Linked DNA regions of Mytilus edulis. The protein of the gene in region 2 purifies or fractionates together with the protein of the main gene of each other region. This does not show direct contact. Links are inferred from orthologs where the notes say so. Each region holds a gene or a part of one and is shown on either strand. Other genes may lie near its edges.

Region 1 (11,156 bases), on a different chromosome or scaffold from region 2:
GAAAAAGAAGAAATCAATATAAGCTTAAATAAATTCATATTGGTTTAAATATATCTAATAAAGAACATGGGCATTTAAAAAGTACCATAAATACAGTTAGTTTCAAATCTTGATACTCCGTCTTGATCTCATATAATCAGGGCCTAAAACTATATTTTAACCTTGATGTTATTTTGTGACCTTGGGTTACTGTTTCATTGATGTACATTCTTTTTTCATATTCAAGGTTGTTCACAATTGAGGAGAAAAGTATGATCTGATACACACAAACACTGTTTTTGATATTACAGAAAATCAAACCAAACATAAATATTTGTGTTCATTTGATAACTAACAAATGCCCATTTACACACATGTTGTGCTAATTTTTGACAGAATAAAAACAAATATTCATAATGAGACCAACTGATGAGAAATGGGTATAAAACACAAGATGTAGTAAATGAAACTTAAACTTTTTGTACACAGCTATAAAAATGTTTCCGACTACAGAAGGTGTATAACTATAAAAAAAAATAAAAAAAAAAAATATTACTAGTCAAAATAATTGTACAATACATCTATGTCTAATCATATGAATTTTACAAAAAAACAAACATCTATAAATAAAATAAATAGTACAACAACAAAATCATGAGAAATCAACAATTATAACAAATGTTAAGATTATAAAGTATGTATGTAATACATAAATATAATAAGTCTAAGCATGCTAATACCTCGGTTTTTGGTTCACTGAATAGATTAGAAATCCTTTTCTGAGACATAAACTTAAGCATTTAACATGATTATTATTCCACTAACAAAAGTGTTTATCGAAATTACTGTAGATCTCAAAAGGACATATAAAAAAGACTTGCGCTTTATGAATTTACTCAATACTAATTGACATAATTTTTTATCAAAACTAAGTCTCAAATTCTATCTCTTATTGAGGGGCACATGTCAGATAAGTTAAGAAAAGGTTGTCTTGTAGGCATAACTGTAATCAGGTAAATCCTGCTTTAAAATTATTGGTGCATTTTAAAAGAGCATATTAGAGTACTGTATTGCAAAGGGTTTTAAATCTATAAATATTTTTCAACAAAACATTTTTATGTATGACACATAACCTGAGTGATTAAATGGATTTCCAATTTACATGTATACCAATAAATTATTATAAAGATTACGGTTCATTTCTGTCTCTTGTTTTGAACACATAACGGTGAGTGGATTTTCTTTCCATATCCTTAAAGTTGATAGTCTTTCCAAAGACTGAAAAAGAAAATTTTATACATTATTTCAATGGTCATTCTAGTTGAGTTCCTAAGGTTATCTGGTAATATTATACAGTTATTCAACAGTATTAAGGAAAAAAAAACATTTTATTTTTCCCAAGACACTAAAAATTTCATTATGGCCCTGCTGAGAGAAATGTTTTTTTTTTGTCGAGGGGAAAATAAAAATAAGAACATTTGGTATGATTGCCAATGAGACAAGTTGTCTCTCCACAAGAAACCAAATATGTCACAGAAACTAACAACTTCAAGTCACTGTACAGCATTGGAAAATAACTTAAAAGCTTCACTTACTGTTCTGTTATACCAAAAGAGGGATGAAAGATAGCAGAGAGACAGTCAAACTCATAAATAGAAAATAAACTGACAACCCCATTGCCAAAAATGAAAAAAGACAAACAGACAAACAATAGTACACATGACACAACATAGAAAACTAAAGAATAAACAACACGAACCCCACCAAACTAGGGGTGATCTCAGGCGTTCTGGAAGGGTAAGCAGATTTTGCTCCATATGTGGCACCTGTCGTGTTGCTTATGTGATAACAAATCCGGTAAATAGTCTTATTTGGTAGGTTACATTCAAGAAAGGAAAGGGGGTTGTAGTTACGACGTAAGGAACATATCCGATATCATTTGTGAAACAGTTATTCCATAACGGTCAAAGAAAAAATCTTGATCCAATTTAAAGAGAAACAAAGCTATATATCAGCTGTGTGGAGTATGATAAACATGTTAAACATTACTTGTAATTGATATCGAAGTTACTGAATGTCAAAACTAGAAACACCTGAAGATTAATAAATTTGGGGAAAACTGTTGCTTCTGGTAAACTATATCCCAAAGGAAAACGTCATTGAAACTATTTCCCTATGAACTTTCACTTCAAAGTAGAAGTTGAGGTAGCCTTATTTTAAATATTTCTAAAATAAAATTCGTCAATAAAAAAATATGATTTAATATGTGTATTTATTGCATAGCAATATCATATTTCCCACAGAAAGTAACCAAAAGTTAGCGTGCAATAAGTTCCAATATTGCACTAGTGCAATAAATCTTCAAAATTCATGACGTCATCAAGACAAAATCTTAGTTTAAACTAATTTTTACTTACAAATATTATATTGCTATTCAATAAAAGGATTATCGCATGAATATTGGGGAATATTGTCCCTCGTAGAACATATATTGCACTCGCAAGCTCGTGCAATATAAAATTTTACTCTATTCCCTAATATTCATGCAATAACCCTATAATATGAACTTTTTTGTCTCACAATATTATATATATCATGTATATATGAACTATTTTTCTGACAATATTATATATATCTCACCATTCTGTGTATTCTTCATCGTCTAAATGTTTATCTAGGATTTCCTTTACAATGACTGGAGGATTCAGGCCGTGTTTATCTGCTCTCTTCCATCTTTCCATTCTTGTTATTCCTAAAATGTACAATGTATGTAAAAGGTTAACTTTATTGACTTTATGTGGTATGTTGAACATTGGATGATGAAAGCTATATTAGAAGCATATTCTTTTTCATGAAATAGACTATGAGTGAAATTACCTAAAATAAATAAGATTGGAATTTTCCACGAGACACAGATGATGTATTTTACACTATAAAGGGTCATAACTCATTAACTGTAAAAGTGATTCTACCTAAATTCGTGCTTGGTCTGTGGTTTGTGGTAATAAGTATTGGGTATAAGGTTCATAACATTTGAATGAGACAAACTGAAGTTAGGGAATAGAAATGAAAAATTTGTTTTGGTAAAGGGGCACAACTCTAGAAAGGTAAAAGTGAACCCCACCCAAATTCAAACTTTATCTGTCCTTTTGTGGTAATAAGTATTGTGTATTAGTTTCATAACATTTGGTTGTGGCAAGCTAAAGATAGAGAACGGAACCAATTTCGGGATGTATGAAAGTAGGGACAGATGTACAGTTGGACAAGGGTAAAACTAAATACCCTCTCCACTTCAGGGGCAAACAAATATGAATTTGTTTAATGATGGAATATCATTCTATAAAACAATATATACCTGAACATGGACCAAATTCTAATGTGACATCAAAATGCCTCAGTATTTTCAATTCATCTTCTACATCTGTTTTACTTGTGCTTGGATGGCCATCTGGAATACAAAATAAAGATAATGCACATGTGAAAATAAATCAATGAAATTCATATCATTCAACAAAAACTTAATACCTGGACATTTTTGTAATTGTACATGTTCAACTTTTGCTGTTAATATTTTCATCTCAACTGGTCTTTTTGGAAAATTACACTTTATATACTTCTGTATTAATATGAGTTAGAATTTATGACTAAAATCAGCATAGACCATCGAAAGAACATCTGATTCAAAAATTTAATAACACTTTTAGTCCTTTGGGTGATATTGGATCTCAACAATGATTTCAGTATGTACACTAAAGAGATTTATCCTGCCTACCTGACCTTAAATAAAGCTAATACCATGGAAGTATTATATTGACAGTAACTCCAACGAAAAATTAGCACATTCCCATCCCACTGATTTCTTTAAGAAAATAAAAGGTTCCGACTCAGTTTGACAAGTTCGTGATAACTCCTTTGTGGGGTATCTGTGATGCCACCTTCGCCTGTTCTTTTAACTGAAGCTGGTCTTATCACTTGATTTAATATTGATTGTCTTATCTACCTACCAATGTAAATAAACACGGAAACTCCCGTGGTTATTTGTTAATTGCCACATAAACAACAACACCTGTTTCCGTTCAATAAATGAAGAACAACGCTGAAAAGATCGAAAAAATTGGTCCATATTTAACAGAATGACATAATAAAATTAACTGCATTCGGAAAAAGGGCAAGCTTATTTTTAGTTTTGTTGAGTATGTTTTAATCATTGGAACTTGGAAAACAGGAAATATCCGATTATGAAAATTACATGATTCTGAAGTAAGAGTGGTAACAGAAAATAATGTGATGCGCTTGTAGTGTGCCAGATGGTGCCAGATAACTCAAATTTTAGTTTAAAGATTGTAAAATTTTATCGAGTGTTACACAAATATTTATGGTTTTCTCTATCGTAAAATGTTATTAACTTATTTATCAAATATGTTTTAAAGACTAAAAGAGGTTAATAATTACACACATGTGATGACCTCTACATAGCAATATCAGGTTACGAGACATGCAGATGAATTGTTACACCTTTTATGATAATTCCAAAGTTGTAAACAACCTTAAATATTCAACCTAGTCCGAGATTACTCGATCTGACGTCTGACAGATTTATTTTTAAGGATGGCTTTTAATATTTCTGGATGCATTTAAAGAACGATCACCATGATGGGCCCTATGCAGTTTAATTTTTTTTTATCATGGAAACCAAATTAGAATTTATTTATGTGTTTAAAAGCTTAACAGTTCTGAACTGTGACATCTTACACTGTATGCTAAGCAATTTATGTTTCTGTTTCTTGTTTAATTGCATGAAATATTTGCCATTGGACTTTTAGTAAACAATAAATCAAAATATTTGATATTTTCTTCGGATCAAAGCTTTTTAACCCCGTCCCCCCGGCCAACTTTTGGATTAAATTTTTGTTTGAAATTCTTTCATTAAACACTTTATTAAAATATTTGTCAAAGTTAGCAGTAAAACGCGATAATAATTACTGATAAAAACTTTTCCTTTTACTTTACATGAGAATTTTATGATTTTCAAGCCTACCATGTATATAACAGTTACGCATGTTTAGTCAATGGCTCTCTCATGAATAAAAATCTTACTATTTTAAAATTGATTGCAACTTAAACTGAAATGTTTATGGCTTGTGAGTATTTTTACTCTTCAGTTTTTTTTTTTTTTTTTTTTTTTTTGGTGAAAACAGTCGCGGGATTTCGTTTATTTTCTTTTTATTTGTTTTTAAGCAGCAAATCCTGTAAAAACTAACATATTTGTCATTCACATGGTCGGTAAATGTCATTTCCTTGAATTAAGTACACATCTGGTTATTTCGGTATGTTCTGTAATTACAATCATTCACAAGGTTCCAAAAAATTGATCGGAACCCATGCATCCATAAGACATGTCAAGTTCATTATAACAGATACTTAACGATTTTGCGGCATCGCACTATAAACGTTTGAAGTCCGCTTGTTAGAGTTCCTGTCAATATAATACTTCCATGCTAATACTAACAATGAACACTGCCCTTTCCTGGATCTTGATATCTATATCCTTAATGGGAAGCTAAATACCAGTATTTATGATAAAAGAGGTGACTTTTCATTTCCTAATGTTAGTTATTCATTTTTAGAATTGTCACCATCTTTTGGTGTTTATATATCTCAACTTGTTAGATTGTGTATGTAACAATATATATGTACAATTTGGAAATTAGTATGGCGTTCATTATCACTGGACTAGTATACATGTATATTTGTTTAGGGGCCAGCTGAAGGACGCCTCCGGGTGCGGGAATTTCTCGCTACATTGAAGACCTGTTGGTGACCCTCTGCTGTTGTTTTTTATTTGGTCGGGTTGTTGTCTCTTTGACACATTCCCCATTTCCATTCTCAATTTTAATTATATGGTTAATTACATGTGTACATATACACTATTACCAGCTTACCCATTTACCCAAGAATCTGTCCTGCTTGAATTATTGACATCATACAACAACCACTTTTCTATTGTGGTGTCAGATATTTTGTATTTTCATGTCAACATTTTACAGGAACTTGTGTGATGTCCAGTAATGGCGGACACATAGCGATAAGGTGTATTACAATAAATGAGTTAAAATTACCAATTTCTAAGTTGGATTACATTTCTGAATCCCTTTTGGGATCCCCTGAGTCAGTAGCCATTTTCTGATTTGGTCACTCTCAAAGTGGTTAAATCAAAAAATTGCTCTGCAGTCAGAATCCCTAAAGGGGTCTATCATTTTTTATATGCTTCTAGTTTTTATAATTATCAATATATTTTACGTATATATATAAATTCAGCTTTTAAAATACCATTTGTTGGTTCCTTTTTATCTTTTCCTTTAGGAGTCTTGACAGACTTGAAAGAATTGGTAATGAAAGAACGTGTTGCCATTTTCATTGTTCTGCTTCTTAGGTTATGTTTACAGGTTATAACTTGACACTTTAATTTGCAAACTCAGCTTCCTTCAAAAGCGAAAGTAGGTAATGTTTATCTCGGTTTATCTAATGCTCCAAATATTAGACGAAACGAAATTGGTGAAATCTCTATTTTTAAGATAAAAGAAAATTTTAACTTTTTTTTTAAAATTTTACATGTTAACATATTATATATGAGAAGAATTGAATTATGTTTATCATGAATAGGATATAATTTTTATAAAATTGTGTTTAATAATTTCAAAAATTCGATTTTTATTTTAAAATCTTTAAAATTGAAACGATCGTAAATCTTCGGCGATATCCACACAAAATATGAAAAAGTAAGAGGAATATCGAAAAATATTTTCCAACTCATCAGCATGGCGGATTCTGCAGAAAACTCAGTACCGGCGTTAGCAGTTACTGCTGCAGTTGGAGCTGTAGTCCTATTATTCGTTCTTTTATGCAGTGTCGGAAGACGTGCAGACAAAAAGGATGAAGATGGTATTATTTTATTTTTGGGCTTAAGTGATAAAATTGAGAATACAAAAAAATATGGAATTTTACCATTAAAGCTTTAGCTTTATACTCATTGAGAAGAAATTTGAACTGTTCAAGTGCATTATTCTTACTTAAAAACTATTATTCATGCACAGTTGTAAATGCTCTTTTGTTCCGACGTTGGAAAGAACTAGCCGAAAAGTTCCGAAGGAACTTATTAATTAGTTACTTTGTTCTTCCTCTGGTTTAAAAGTTCTCCCGGAACAAAGTGACTAGTTGAAACCAACGGAACATATCAAGCAGTTAGCATGGTTAGAAAGTTCCTTTTTGCCAAATTAGTCAAAACCGGAACTAACAAACTAGCCCAAAAGTTCCAGCGGAACTTATCAACCAGTCACAAAGTTCCATTTGGAGAATTGGTGTAAAGTAAAAGCGCAAGATATTATATTTGAACCTTTCAAAGTGGAACCAAGATACTGATTACAAAAGTCAAAAGGAACTTATCAACTAGTCGCAAAGTTCCTCTTTGGCAAATCAGTCACAACCGGAACTAACAAACTGGCCCAAAAGTTCCTCCTCATATGGGTACTTTTAAAAATATCAATTTCAGATTAATGTATGAAAATAAATTAGAACTTATTCCGTTATGAAGGCAACATTCTGACCGAAGGAGCTAGTTGTTCTGTTCCACCAGAACTATTCAACTAGCTACATTGTTCCGAGACTTTTCAAATAGCTACTTTTTTCCGGAACTTTTCAACTGCACTCGGAATAAAGTAACTAGTTGAAAAGTTCAACCGGAACAGAGTAACTGACGGAACATAGTGGCTGTTACACAGTCACTGTGCAAGATTAGGGCAAATTATTAAAATTATGTTGACAGATACTTTTTTTAAAGTTCATCATAACAAACGCACAAATATGGCTGTATAAACGTGCCAAAAAATTACTCTGAGTACAGACTTACTTGTGAAGTTGGAAAAGTTTTAATGCCTAGCATCCACTAGATATATAAAATTTAAATGCATTTTGTGTTTCAGCATGTTCAGAAAGATAAAATTTCTTTTGGATTTTGACGGGCATTTTATTCCCCTCGTGCATATGGTGTGAAAATTAACTAAGTTGTGGTACAACTTTGAGATGCTCCCTCAGGTAAAAAATGGGTTTGTATTGTTTTGATTGTCCTTACTTGACATGGACAAGAGGTATCTTCACAACTACAGGTGAGTAAAAAAAGAGTTTATCTGAGTCAGTGAGTGGACAGTATCAAAGTAATTCAGGTGTTTGTTTATTTTTACACCTTCTGCAGAAAGGAAAAAAATGCCCATCAAAAACCAAGAAAGATTTTATCTTTCTTAAATATAAAATGCATTTTACTTTTATATATCTAGTGGATGCTAGGCCTTAAAACTTTCCAATCAGCACAAGTAAGTCTGTACACAGAGTAGTTTTTGAGGTGAAAATACAGCCATATTTGTCCATTTGGTATGATGAACCTTAACTTTGGTCACTGTCATGATGGTATCGACTATCGGGTCTGTTCGCCCTGATTACACTTTCGCCCTGGGTCCATTCGAACAGGTACTAGGGCGAACACGAATCAGGGTGAACCAACCTGGATTCCTGTCAAGACTAGGTGACTTGAAGTGTCATGTAAAATTGTTGTTATGTCAAATTCTTTATAAAAAAAATATGCTTATTAGATATGTAACTTAAAACAACCACTGAAGAGTTTCCTCATGTTGGGTAGGCAGATATATACATAGTTTGGTGACAGGTTGTATTGTTTTTTTTAACAACATTTAGTTAAACAACACTATCAATAAGAATATGAAAATAAGAGACCAACATGACCAAGGCAACTTTTAATTCCTTAGATTGATGAGTGAATTTTCTTCTAATACCTTTCGCCCCCTTTTAATTCCTTTACTTTTATGAAGAGATTTTATACAGCCACATCATTACAATATACAACAGGATGATATGAATTTGTGCAATACAGAAAGTAATTTATGTACATTGTATCAGGGCTTCCAAAACGGTCATATATTTTGGACAATTGTATTCTGTCCGGTAAAAGTCTGGCTGGACAAAGCATGAAACGATCATCTAAAAATATAGTATATATACCAATACCAAGGGTCCGGAAACGGTCATATATGCCAGTCTTGACCTAAACTGAAAGTATTTTGTCCTAAATGAGTAATTGGGATTTAGGACAAATTTTATTTTTTTACAGAAATAATTTCGGTCATTAAATTTCATTTCGTTGAGATCGAGTTTCCAACATTGTCTAAATCGCCATTTTGAACTTTTTTTTGTTTGTTATCCCTTTCCTGTAATAAAACTGCCACTCCAGTAAAGTGTTATAATCCTGAGGGCCCTCCTAATAACTATAGTAATGCCTCTGGGAAATATTGGCTAATGATCGCTAATCTAAGACTCTTTACCTGTGTTTTTAATTAAATTTTTTATTGATCACAAGCTCAGAACTAATAAATGAAAAGTTCATAACAACTGTCTGCATTATTTAATTACTTTTCTCAGCTTAGACAATTGTCAATTCTGATTTAAAATTAAATTAAAATTAAATTAATTTACGTAGAACAAAATATTGTTTCACTACAAACACATGTGCTTTGTTTACTAATAGGCAATCTTGAAATTCTCTTCCACAAAAGACACTAAATCGTAAATTCAAAATGATTTCATGCTAAATTAAACAAGTCCAACTATTATAATTAATATTCAAACACTATTAAAGGTAAAACAGTTAAAAAGCCGACGATTTCCTGTGAATTTGATAAACAAAACTAATCCCGGAAATGAGTCCGTAATTGGTCGTTTTACTATTGTCGTAAAACATCCGGTTATAATTTTGTCTTCAAATCGAAAGAAACGTAAGCGAAGTTTGAGAAATTTATCGTTTTGAGTCATTAAAATCATTTCATTTTTAAACTGTTGCCTTCCTTTTATTGCTCAAGATTTTAAGGAAAATAGTAGGGAAATTTCTGAAGTAAATGCGGTGCAACAGTTAAACAAGTTCCTTGATGCTACGAGTATGACTGTATGAGCATACACACAATCTTTGTTTGAAAAAGGGCACCAACTTTTAAGTTATCCAAAAATGACCGAAATTAGGTGAAAAAATTTCCGGACCCTTGACCAATACACGTAATTAACAGCGCCTGGTGATGTTTTATAGCCTGACCGGTTTCGGTCCGAAAAGGACCTTCATCAGAGGCAGAATGATGGATTAATGTTTGCACCCTATTTATATAGATATGGTAACCGGCGGTTGAGTTATCCAGCAGTTAAGATTTAACTGGCGGTTTGTTTAACCCGCGGTTGAGTTAACCAGTGGTTGAGATTTAACCGGCATTTCAGAGCGAACCGGCGGATCAAAGTTATCCAGTGGATAAATAAGTATCTTGTTGATATCTAAAAAGGTTCAATTAGCCATTCAGTTGGGATTTTCCATGGTTACAGTTATCTATATTTAGCTAATGTACATGTTACAGTAAACTTTCTTTACATGTTACGGTAAACTTTTCAACATTATACGGTAATCATGTGACCTGATGATATAACCATATTTGGGCTTTAGCATTGGGTAAAGGGTGTTTATTTCAGGACTTGATATTCAGGTGTATCATAAGCCTGAGATCAAGACTGCATGACTGCTAGGAAGTACTATTTCAAGACTTGATATTTAGGTGTATCATAAGCCAAATATCAAGATCACATGACTACCATGACATACTATTCCAAGACTTGATATTTAGGTGTATCATAAGCCAAAGATCAAGACTAAATGATTACCATGTACTTCTTAAATTATTTAAACACCCTTTACCCAATGCTAAAGCCCAAATATGGTTATATCATCAGGTCACATGATTACCGTATAATGTTGAAAAGTTTACCGTAACAGGCTATAAAACATCACCAGGCGCTGTTAATTATGTGTATTGGTATATATACTATATTTTTATGCTTTTACATTTTTCTCACTGATACACATAGTTAATATGGCTTCTACTAACGAAAGCTCCATTTGGAGCTAATGTGTTTAGAGACTACTTATGTCAGTACACCTTTCCTATATTGCCCATGAAACGATCATCTACTTTTTAGTTTTCATGGCTTTCTTACTAGACGTTCATTTTAACATAAACACAATCTTTTTGACCCAACATTTTGCCTTTAACAGCCACACATTTCCGGTCATAAAAGTG
Region 2 (11,776 bases):
CAAATCCGGTAAATAGTCTAACTCGGGAAGTCACATTCATGAAAGGGAAGGGGATTGTAGTTACGACGTAAGGAACATATCCGATATCATTATAAAATGCTATCGTTGCGTATTTTATAAATTCGTACTATTCAGATTGTCTACAAACAAAAAATAGTGTTATAGTTTTATATTTAAATTTGCTCCAATATTTTACAGCATGGGACGATATTGGATACAACTTTCTTATAGGAGAGGACGGTCAAGTATATGAGGCAAGAGGATGGGACAGAGTAGGGGCACATACGTACGGCTGGAATGACGTTGCAGTTGCTTTTTCTATCATGGGGAATTTTAATGATCGTGTGCCCAACGACAAGGCTTTGACTGCACTTAAGAATGTAATTGCATGTGGTATTAGAATGGGAAAGATAACTCATAATTATAAAATGTACGGACATAGGGATGTAAGACAAACAGAGTGTCCAGGGAACAGTTTTTACGCTTTATTACAGACTTGGCCTCACTTTGGTCATACAAAACCAGTAAAACCAACCAGTTCATCACATCACCAGACTCAAACAAGCGGCTAACCCCGTCATTGGTTGTGGTTGGGACACGGTTGGGAAGAAATATACTGTATATTAAAGAATCGTGTTTGTCTGTTTGAGTAGTTTTATGTGTGCATGTGTGTGTTTTTGTTTTCAGAAAATGAATTAATGTTATACATTGTAACTATTTTTCATGCATCCTTTTGTGTCACATGATAAATTCTGAAAAAAAATCTGTGTTAAGTGCTTTTTAAAGTCGAAATGTCATTATAAGGTTGTGACTTATTAACTCATCATAGTCTAGATACCAGGATTCTTATTCAAAAGACTTATTAGTTGCCCTCGAATAAAAAGTTACAAGGTCAAATAAAACAAAAAGTTCAAGAGCGATGAGGGCCCAAAATTCAGCAAGATTTTGCCAAATACTGCTAGTTAGGAAATCTATTCTTGAGGTAGAAAATCATTTGTTTTTCTATAAAAAAAAAAAAAAAAAAAAAGAAATACGTTTGGTAAACAGTTGAATATAATATAGGGTTATTGCATGAATATTGGGGAATATTGTCCCGAGTAGAATTTTATATTGCACGAGCTTGCGAGTCCAATATATGTTCTACGAGGGACAATATTCCCCAATATTCATGCAATAACCCTTTTATTGTATAGCAATATAATATTTGAAAGTAAAAATTGGTTTAAAATAATATTTTGTCATTGATGACGTCATGAATTTTGAAGATTTATTGCACTAGTGCAATAATAGAATTTATTGCACGATAACTTTTGGTTACTTTCTGTTGGAAATATTATATTGCTATACAATAATAAATGATATTGTGTCAAATACGAATTTTATCATATCATTTTCAATCATGTCTAATCAATTCTGAAAATAGGTTATCAGTTTATATGAATTCTATTTAGATATTTATAATATTATCTCGGTCGACAGTTTTACATGTATAAACCGTAAAAAAAAACTTTCTATTTCCTTCAATAAACTTCTAATATGATCATAAATTATTACGTCTACTGGTGTTTTAGGGTGCTAAATCAAGCAAATGTGAATATATCTTGAACTACATGTTTTGATTGCATTTGAATTCTGCACGAATATTTCCCAGGCATTGCACTAGTTCACATCCATGTGTTATTATCATAATTATACAGTATTTTAACAGCAGATTATATAATATTAAAATTACCCTAAGAGCTATACATCATATATCAATTCACATATACAAGACTCATACAAGTATTTATAATAAAATATCAATTTTTTAGCATATGAGAATCGAACAGTTATAACTTTTATCAGATGCAAAAGAGATGATAAGATTTATAAAAATCTTAATTAAAATAGCTTACATATGCATGAAACTATGCTTTAAAATTTGCTGATGAACAACATTTTTTTTTTAAATGGGCATGGTAAAATAAAAAGTCAACAAAACAGTACAAATAAAAATGAATTAGAAATTCAAAAATTTCAGTTATGAATTTAAAAAAATAATCATATCTGATCCCTTTTTATATAAAAAAAAATATGTGCAGACATACATGTAAAACAAAAACATAATGGTTTACAAACATAGATAAATAAATATTCTAATTATTGAATGTCTATCGAAGAAAAAATCCGAACAGTACACAATCGTGCTGAATTATTGATAAACAGACTTTCAAGGCTTAAAGAAATTTAATCAGACAAGTCGAAAAGAAAGCCTCTCAAGCAACACGTACGAATTTTTTTTAAACTCATACCATTAGAGATGTAACGAAATCACTAATAAATGATCTAATTTGTTGTCTATATTCAACTATTTTTACTACTGCTAAAAAATAATAGGCGTGATAACGAACAAAAGACGAAATTCGAATATATTCTAAAGTTATGACAATCCTAAGACCAACTTAAGACACCTAAATTGGTATCCTAAAGTTAGGACAATTCCTAGGATTTTCCTTAGTTGCGACATGTTTGATAAACCCAATAGGACTAAGATGTGTCCTAAGTTGGTCTAAGGACACGTCCTAATCCTAAGAGAGCTTCGATAAACAGGCCCTTGGGTCCTCAAATTGACATACTCTTCAACTTCGTACTTTTATTTTATTTTATTTTCATTTTAGCGAGATTAATAAGACTTCTGACGAAATGTACGTCTGATGTTAAATTGTTTAAGTCTGTTAAGTATGGTGTTAACTATGATACACACAGCAGACCAGCAAGGCATATGAATAGCAAGTCACGCCAAAAGCTAGCTCGATGTTTACCTATTTCAATATTTAACATTTATTAGATCTATATAACAACAAAAAAGTATGCTAAGATTAAGCACGCATTGTAGAATAAGAAGCATTTACAAGTTACGTATTTTAGAAAGCTGTAACATACATTATGAGAAAATAAAACGGCGGAATTAAAACAATACGAGTAAAAAGGTGTATACAGCCTATGACAAGGCGGTGACTAGTTTTCCAATAAGGATCTTCAATAATCAGGGAACTAAAAATCAAAACACAGGATCAAAATTATAAAAAAAAACAGTCAAAGTTACCCAATTCTACTTGATTTTACAATTCTATTTGTTTTTCTGTAATGGTGTACTCCTCTGTTCGGGATATGGGAGTTGAACGCTCACACTCGAGTTTGTTGTTGGTTGATTGGGGAGTTGAACGCTCACAATCGAGTACTCCTCTGTCCGGGATTGGGGAGTTGAACGCTGACATTCGAGTTTGTTGTGGTTGGTAGATGTCTGTCATAGTTATGTATTTCGTTTAATATTGTAAAATATATCAAACACTCGTATTTCTCGTTTGAATTGTTTTACAATCTGTCATCCCAGGGCCATTTTAAAACTGTACTACTAACTTATACAGTATTTGTTTCGCACATTGCTGACGGCTGTTAAAGTACTGTGACATGTACTGGATCCCATATTTGTCCTTTCTTCGTTAATGGGATAATGACAATCATACCACAACTCAGAACTTTTATTTTATTATGTATCTTACAATATGCCTGCAACAAAAATTGAAAGAAACATGTATTATTCATGATACATACCTGATACATGAACACACAAAATACGAACGATAATAACATTTGATATCGTACAGAACATATATACATTGCACAAAAGTCAGGTTAACAAATGGTTTCTGCTTGTCAATGTAGACTGAATTGCATTCTTGTCTTACATATACAAGACTTTCTAAACATTATAAAAGGCTTGTATGTGCTAAATATCATCATAACAACACTGTATGTGCTTTATGTATGCTAAAGCAAACCAAGATCTATAAAGGCTTTACTATGTTGTTGAAGATATAGCAATTGTTTACAAATTAAAGCTTAACTGCTCGAATACATTGAATATAAAAAAGAAGGTGTCGTCTGATTGCCAATGAGACAACTCTCCACAAGAGACCAAATAACATAGTATAACACATGTAATTACAAACTAAAGGTCACCATACGACCTTCAACAATTTGAGCAAAGCCCATACTGCATACATTAACTTATACAAGGCCCCCAAATGACAAATGTAAAACAGGTCAATCGAGAAAACTCACGGTCTAATCTATGTACAAATTAATGAACGAAAAACAAATATGATACACACCATAAAACGACAATCACTTGATTACAGGCTCCTGACTTTGAACAGACATGCACATACAGGAATAAGACTATTTTCAGCATGTTAGCAGACTGAGGTAACATTGTAAAAAAAAATTCTAGAAGGAAAGCCAGTCATCCATATGCCGGGATGTCATGTTATTATAGCAGAAAACTTTTACAATTTAAAATAACAAAACAGTGCAGTGGTGGACCCAGAACTTCAACAATTTGAGCAAAGCCCATACTGCATACATTAACTTATACAAGGCCCCCAAATGACAAATGTAAAACAGGTCAATCGAGAAAACTCACGGTCTAATCTATGTACAAATTAATGAAAGAAAAACAAATATGATACACACCATAAAACGACAATCACTTGATTACAGGCTCCTGACTTTGAACAGACATGCACATACAGGAATAAGACTATTTTCAGCATGTTAGCAGACTGAGGTAACATTGTAAAAAAAAATTCTAGAAGGAAAGCCAGTCATCCATATGCCGGGATGTCATGTTATTATAGCAGAAAACTTTTACAATTTAAAATAACAAAACAGTGCAGTGGTGGACCCAGAACTTTTTAAAGGGGGCACTAAGCGGCCTAAGGGCATGTCCCCCTCCCCAGTTCAGGTTACCAACAAAAGTTTTAACATAATTTTATTAATACTGAATCTTTATTTAGAATTAATTACAGTTTGATTTGTAAAACTGGCCGTTAATCCCATCTCCAACATACTTGAAACTGACAACGCCATGGCTAAAAATAAAAAAGACAAACAGAAAAACAATAGTACACACGACACAACATAGAAAATTAAAGAATAAACAACACGAACCCCACCAAAAACTAGGGGTGATCTCAGGTGCTCCGGAAGGGTAAGCAGATCCTGCTCCACATGTGGCACCCGTCGTGTTGCTTATGTGATTACAAATCCGGTAAATAGTCTAATTCGGTAGGTCATATTCATGAAAGGGAAGGGGATTGTAGTTACGACGTAAGGAACATATCCGATATCATTTGTGAAACGGTTATTCCATAACGGTCAACCAACTCGTGATGGCGTCCTTAAAATTTTCGAAGGGATGATTTCAACTTCACCATTTGGAACTCTTGGTTTAATAGCTTCCTTGTGAGCAGCAAACCTCTATCAAGAAAATCATGATAGGAAATGCAAGCACGGGAATATCGTATCAATTGGGAGATATATACCCCGTATGCAGGTGCTGCTGGAATGTTGCTACTTAGAAATGGAAAGTTCACAATTGGAAAGCTGAAATCATCTCTTTTGTCGTAAAGTTTTGTTTTCAACCGACCCTCATTGTCAATTTCTAGATGTAAGTCAAGATATGAAGCCGACTTAACTGTATCTGTAGTATCCTTTATCTCTAGTTCGATTGGATAGATGCGTTCCACATACTCACCAAATTTTGAATTGTTTAGTGAAAGAACATCATCTATATAGCGGAAAGTAGAGTTAAAGGATATTGCTAACTTTTTATCTTTCTTCCTAAGAAGTTTCTGCATGAAGTCCAAGCATACAGTAAATTATGAATCAATTATCGTATATCTATTTTTCTTGTTCCATGTATGAGGCCATGGATGAGGATATGAATGGTTTTTACAGGGCAAAAAAAAAACGTCATTAGATGCCGGACCAAAACTAAAGATAACAAAATAAGGAAATGGTGAAATTAAAATGTGAAGAATATAATAATTGATTTTGGTTGCCTAATCATCAGTGTCCAGTGGCAAATATAGGCATGTTTAGGAAAAATCTAAGAGATAAACAAATATAGGATAGAGCGAAAAATAGCAGGACCAAAACTGAAGATAACAGAATAAAAGATGATATTATTGAAAGTATATTGCGATGATTGATTTTTGCTGTCTAATGTCCAGTGGCAAATTATCTGACCCCCCTTTTTAACCACCACCACCACACATACCACAACCATTACCACCAAAAGTCACATATATCGGTATCTCTATACAGATATCGATGTTTGGGTGCTCCCCCCCCCCCCCCCCCAAGAAAACGAGGTTCTGGATACGCCCCTGTCTTTGTATATTTTGAAAATATCACTGCTGGGTCACATTGTGTCAGATATAAATATATAGGCCGGGAAAACCAATCGTATGATAATCGAAATTTCGTACGTTTTTCAGAGACTAGTGTCTGTCGTAAATAACATATCTACTCCATTCCGGAGTTAAAATTTTGCCAAAAACTTTCAAAAATATAAAGGTTGCCAGATTTAAAATTAAGACCAAGGATTTGTCTGTATAGTTTGTCTTTTAAAAGACGCAAAAATAACAACAAAAATTTCAGTAAATTTACTAAAAGATAATTTTTTAATATATTTTTTTGGCCAAATAATTAAAGATATTTGAAATGCAAAATAACATCGGTATTGAAAAAAAAGTATACTGGGAGTTCTGACTACTAAAATCAGAGACATATAATTATTAACGGGAACTTTCGCTTCTTTATAAGCAACAAAATTCGTTTTCTGTTATCAGGGTTGTTAAAAAATGTTGTTTGTCGTTTATTAATGCATTTTTAGTATGTTAAATTTGGATTTTTTTGATTTTTTTAAAGTCAGCTGAGCTGGGACTAGGTTATAAATAGATTAGGGGAAAACCTAAAACCAATCGTATGACAATCGGAAGTGTCGCTTTGACCACGTCGACTTAGGTGATCTCATTTCCGGTGTAAACACTTGGACTGTTTTCAACAGATTATCTTACGTCAGATGTAAATGTAGATTTTTGTATTGTAAATGGGAAGAAGACGAAGTAAACGATGGAATTCGTGTATGATTTGGTTTGCTACGTCGGTTGGAGCTCTGTTTTATACGATCAGTTGCATCAAAGCCGCGGATGATATTGACACCTCGAGATCTGTCGATTCTGGAACCTACTATGATTTTCCCAGGGAACCCGAAATTACTGGTCAAAGATCATCCTCCTGTGTGGCAAAACCTCCGTCTGTTCTAAATAAGTAAGTAATTATAATTGCAAATATTGAAAAAAAATCATCTCATAAATCATTTATTTGCATTCATCTGACCATGCTGACAGACCTACCCACTGCCAGTACAGTGTACTGGTTTTGTCGACTGACATGCTACAATATGTACTTGTAATCAAAAGAACGAACATTGGACATTTAAAAGATTACAGTAAGCACTCTTGAGATACAACAAATTATCTCCCCTTGATTGCTTGTCTTTGTGACTAGTATTTACACTGTTTGTACAAAAGTCTTCTGTTTATTTTTTATTTTTTATTCTCCCAGAGCATTGACCTCTGCATTTATGCAGCAAAAGGCTCAACTGCAAGGCATGTTTTTAAGCCGGTTTAGTTTTTGTATACAGTGGGCAAATGCTGCATGATCCACAACAGAATATACTCTTTTAATATAGACCGTTAACATTTAAGTTGACTGTACATGTATACTGACTGATATAATACAGAAAAATAATTGAGTAGTCCTGTGTACAGTTTTCAAGATTCAAAGTTTTATTTAGAGTTGATATTCAATAAACTACATACATGTAACACAAGCTCTAGTGAGCTTTTCAAGTATTTACTGGAGAAAAAAATAATACTTTGTTGTTATTTCAGCAAAGTGTAAGTTAGAACTTCCAAAACATAAGCAAGAACCTGAATAATCTGAATTTACAAAGGGGTCCAACAAAGGAAAATAATATTTTGTAGAATGATTCACCATGCAATATCTTCTTAATCTGGTGGTTATGACCTGTTAATCTTGTTTACTTGTGGCTTCTGACTTAGGGCAGGCGCATATTGACATATAGATATATTGTTCCCAGATCCAGTACGAAAAATCTTCATTTTTTTATGTAAAGCAAAACAAATTAATTTACTACATCATGTACATGTTTACCTTAGAAAAGAATAAACTGTGAACATTAAGATAAGGCTGCATTTGTGTAAACTAATTTTTCTTCTATTGAAGTTTCAAGAATTAGTCTTCATGCATACAGTGTATTATTAACACAAATAATTACCATGCACAATGTTGAACAATTATAAACTGTATCATGTGTATTAAACGATGTTAAAAATTGAACAAAAAACTGCTACATACACATGATATGCAACTTTTGTGATATCTAGCTGGTTGGAACACATGTTTTCTTTTTAAATTAGGAATATTTTGTCAAATGGCTTTAAAAAAAACTCTTTACAATAAGAAATGGAATTAATTCTGCGGACTTGTTGTACATGTAATATATAATTCAAAGAGAAACTTGACTATAATTATGTAATAAAATAAAAGCAATGAATTCATTGCTATTTTGTAACCTATTAATTCAAACATGTCAAAACCTCAGTTTCTTTCATTTTTTTTTTTTTTTCCACACTTTTTTTATCTTATTTTAAAGCTTAATTTAATCTGCATTTAATACCATTATTCATTGTTTGCCGCCTACATTGTACATGTATTGTATAAACAATAAGTACATGTTCATCCTGATAAAGATATTTATGTATTCAATAATACCAAATATAGAAATAACCATGGCCACCACTTTAAGTGAGAAATTTTTCCTCAAAATTTGAGCTTTGTAAATATTTAAATCAAATCAAATGACTATTCATGAAGTGTAGCTTTTTATAGTCAGACAAAGCCATGAACAATATTTGTCTAAGATTTAATTATTTACAAATTAGTTAAGTACAAATGTCTTCAAGTAAACAAAGTATTTTACGTAGACAAATTCACAATACATGTACTGTATATACCACAGTGGAACCCAATAGTAAAAAAATGTAGGCACTTATGATACTTTACCTAAAATTTATTGAAAAAATGCTTTAGTTCAGACACAAATAAGGCTCAATGTATGAATTTACTGGACAGTATTAATTATTAATGTTCTCCAATACACAACCAAAATCAGAATTAGTATCTCAAAGGTATTTTTTATACTGATCCTGTTGAAATGAGTTTCCGAGGTTAGGGAGGTTGTGTGGCAGCTAACATGTTTAACCCCAACATATTCTGTATGTGCCTGTCCAAAGTCGGGAGCCTGTAAACATGATAAATCAGTTGTTGTTGTGTGTTGGCGTTTAACATTTGTATTTCATTATTGTTTTTAATGTCATTTTTTGGCCTTTTATAGCTGACTATGCAGTTGGGTTTTTCTCATTTTTAAGGCCGTACAATGATCTATAGCTGTCACATTGGCAATACACTGTAATACCAAATCTTCCTATTTGTACATTGTATAAGGTAATATATTAAAATTTGGTAAACATGATGCATTATAGAAGAAGGTCCAATTTCCACTGTATCTGTTTTATTCAGACAATCATTGACATTCTGTATTGAATCAATTCAGTATAAACATGAAATATTAAATATAATAAGGAACAAATGTTACTTTTGAAGATATGCCAGTTTGTTGTGTATATACATTGTAAGAGAACAAATGTTTTCAAATACAATGTATTATGAAGGTTAAAAATGATCATTAATTGTATATATTGTAGATTTCTGATGGTAGTGAGTACTCTAGATGGCAAAGTTTCAGCATTAGATGTACAGGATAGTGGCAAGATACTATGGAGTGTTGATGCTGATACTAGACCCCTGTTGTCATCCAGTATAGGAAACTTAGAGGTAGGTACAAGTCAAAATTCTTCAAAAAACATGTTGGAGTGTGGAATTAAGCTACAGTGTAACCTGCTTAATCTGACAACTGAGTATTTCAACATCCTGGTTTTAGCCGACACATTTTCATGGTCCAAAAATATGCCTGTTCTTGTAGAAAAAATTCCGACACCCTGCTTAATCTGACATTTTTTCTGCTCCCCTATGTGTTGTATATCTTTTGTCTATTAATTCTTGATAAATGATCTAATGCAATGCCTCATTAATATACTTTACCTTTATGTTTCTTTTTCTTCAGATAACAAGAAATGGAATGAAAACACGACTGATACCCTCTCTTGATGGTGGTTTGTACCAGTATGATGGAGAGAGTATCGAGGCTGTTCCCCTGTCTGCAGAAACACTACTTAGCTCGTCATTTAAGATGACAGAAGATATAACTATGATTGGTGGCAAAGATTTATTATCGTATGGTTTAGACCCCCTTTCTGGTCAGGTAATAATTTAATCTTCATGTTTTATTGCGAACCCTATCTTAGTTTTCCATAGATTCACCTGCAAGTTACCTGTCCATTTAAACTTTTGTAAGTCCTATTGTCCCATCTAACAAATACAACAGGTATTGTTCTCTGTGTAGTTTATTCACTGGGACCTTTAAATTTCTTCTAGGAGAAATATATCACTCATTGATTAATTTACCTGACCAAAAAATTATCTTCTTTTTTATTGAAATACTTCTAATAACTCACATAAACTGTATGCAATATTGTATTTATTCAATATTATCATTAATATATTTTCAATCTGTTCAATATAAAATCTGGTTTAATACTAAAAAGTTTATTTCAGACACATTTTTTAGTATTTTCCAATGAATTTACATGTTTTTGTTGTTGTTCATTTATAGACTTATGTTTATGAAGACCTTAATTTAAAAATAATAATATTCAATTTTTTATTTATCAAACACACAAAAATATTGAATATTTGATCAGAAATCAACTTTTAATTTTTGAATCAGTATTACAAATGTAATATTGAACACATTAAAAACGAGTTACTCCAGGTATCTAATAAATACAACACCACATGCAGTTTTGTGAGTCCTTACTTAGTATTGGTATAAGTATTTTTTCTTCATTGACAGTTCAATTTTTTACTCAGGTAGATTAATCAATGAGTGATATATTTCTCCTAGAAGAAATTTAAAGGTCTGAGTGAATAAACTACACAGAGAACAATACCTGTTGTATTTGTTAGATGGGACAATAGAACTGCCAAAAGTTTAAATGGACAGGTAACTTGCAGGTGAATCTATGGAAAACTACGATAGGGTTCGCAATAATAGAGGAGTAAAGATAACACAAGAAATATTTTTTTTAAAAATGCAATTTTTCCGAAAGATTGATTCATGTACCAGTACTGTAGTATGTCATGTAAAGAAATAATTTCTGAATGTCCCCATCCAACTTCCAAGCAAGGACCAAAGCTCATAAACTCGGCAATCAAACATTAAACACAGGACTTCGGGAATGTCCGGAGAGTCGACAACCTTGCTTTGGAAGTTGGTCCCCGTTCTGATGTTTACATGATTTGATTTAGAGGGCATATACTTTCAAAAAAGAGATAAAAAGAGTCAAAAACTGAAATGAAATAGATTTTGCCATTTAATTTACAATCTTAACACGGAAGACGCACAATTTGTTGGCAACACTGACTATTTACCATATTTAAGACTTATTGAATTATTTAAACATGTTAAAGGGAGAAAATTCATAAACATTTTTTAGCTGATAGAAATATATATGAATAAAAAGAAATGAGGTGAACATTGATGAGAAAGCAACCAAACAAATCAAATTTGACCAAAACAAGGGCAAGGTCACCATACAGTGGTAATAAGTGAACAAAAACTAGTATAACAACTAATTTTCTGTGTATGCAACATAAATGATATATAGAATATAATAATTTG

The links.
Region 1: the proteins of eukaryotic translation initiation factor 2-alpha kinase 3-like (region 2) and transducin beta-like protein 2 purify together in Homo sapiens (affinity purification with western blotting; 3 studies listed by BioGRID). This does not show direct contact. The link is inferred for Mytilus edulis from reciprocal best matches to the Homo sapiens genes EIF2AK3 and TBL2.

Annotation. Positions count from the first base shown.
Region 1 is NC_092349.1:58,945,791-58,956,946, forward strand, and holds the start of transducin beta-like protein 2, read left to right. Parts: upstream 1-6,742; 5' UTR 6,743-6,797; coding exon 6,798-6,921; intron 6,922-11,156. Other genes in the region: DNA polymerase delta subunit 4-like, read right to left, coding at 1,233-1,257, 2,620-2,731, 3,335-3,427, 6,310-6,397.
Region 2 is NC_092347.1:88,471,423-88,483,198, forward strand, and holds the start of eukaryotic translation initiation factor 2-alpha kinase 3-like, read left to right. Parts: upstream 1-6,801; 5' UTR 6,802-6,937; coding exon 6,938-7,158; intron 7,159-9,680; coding exon 9,681-9,810; intron 9,811-10,099; coding exon 10,100-10,297; intron 10,298-11,776. Other genes in the region: peptidoglycan recognition protein 1-like, read left to right, coding at 199-572. UniProt on the Homo sapiens protein: Metabolic-stress sensing protein kinase that phosphorylates the alpha subunit of eukaryotic translation initiation factor 2 (EIF2S1/eIF-2-alpha) in response to various stress, such as unfolded protein response (UPR).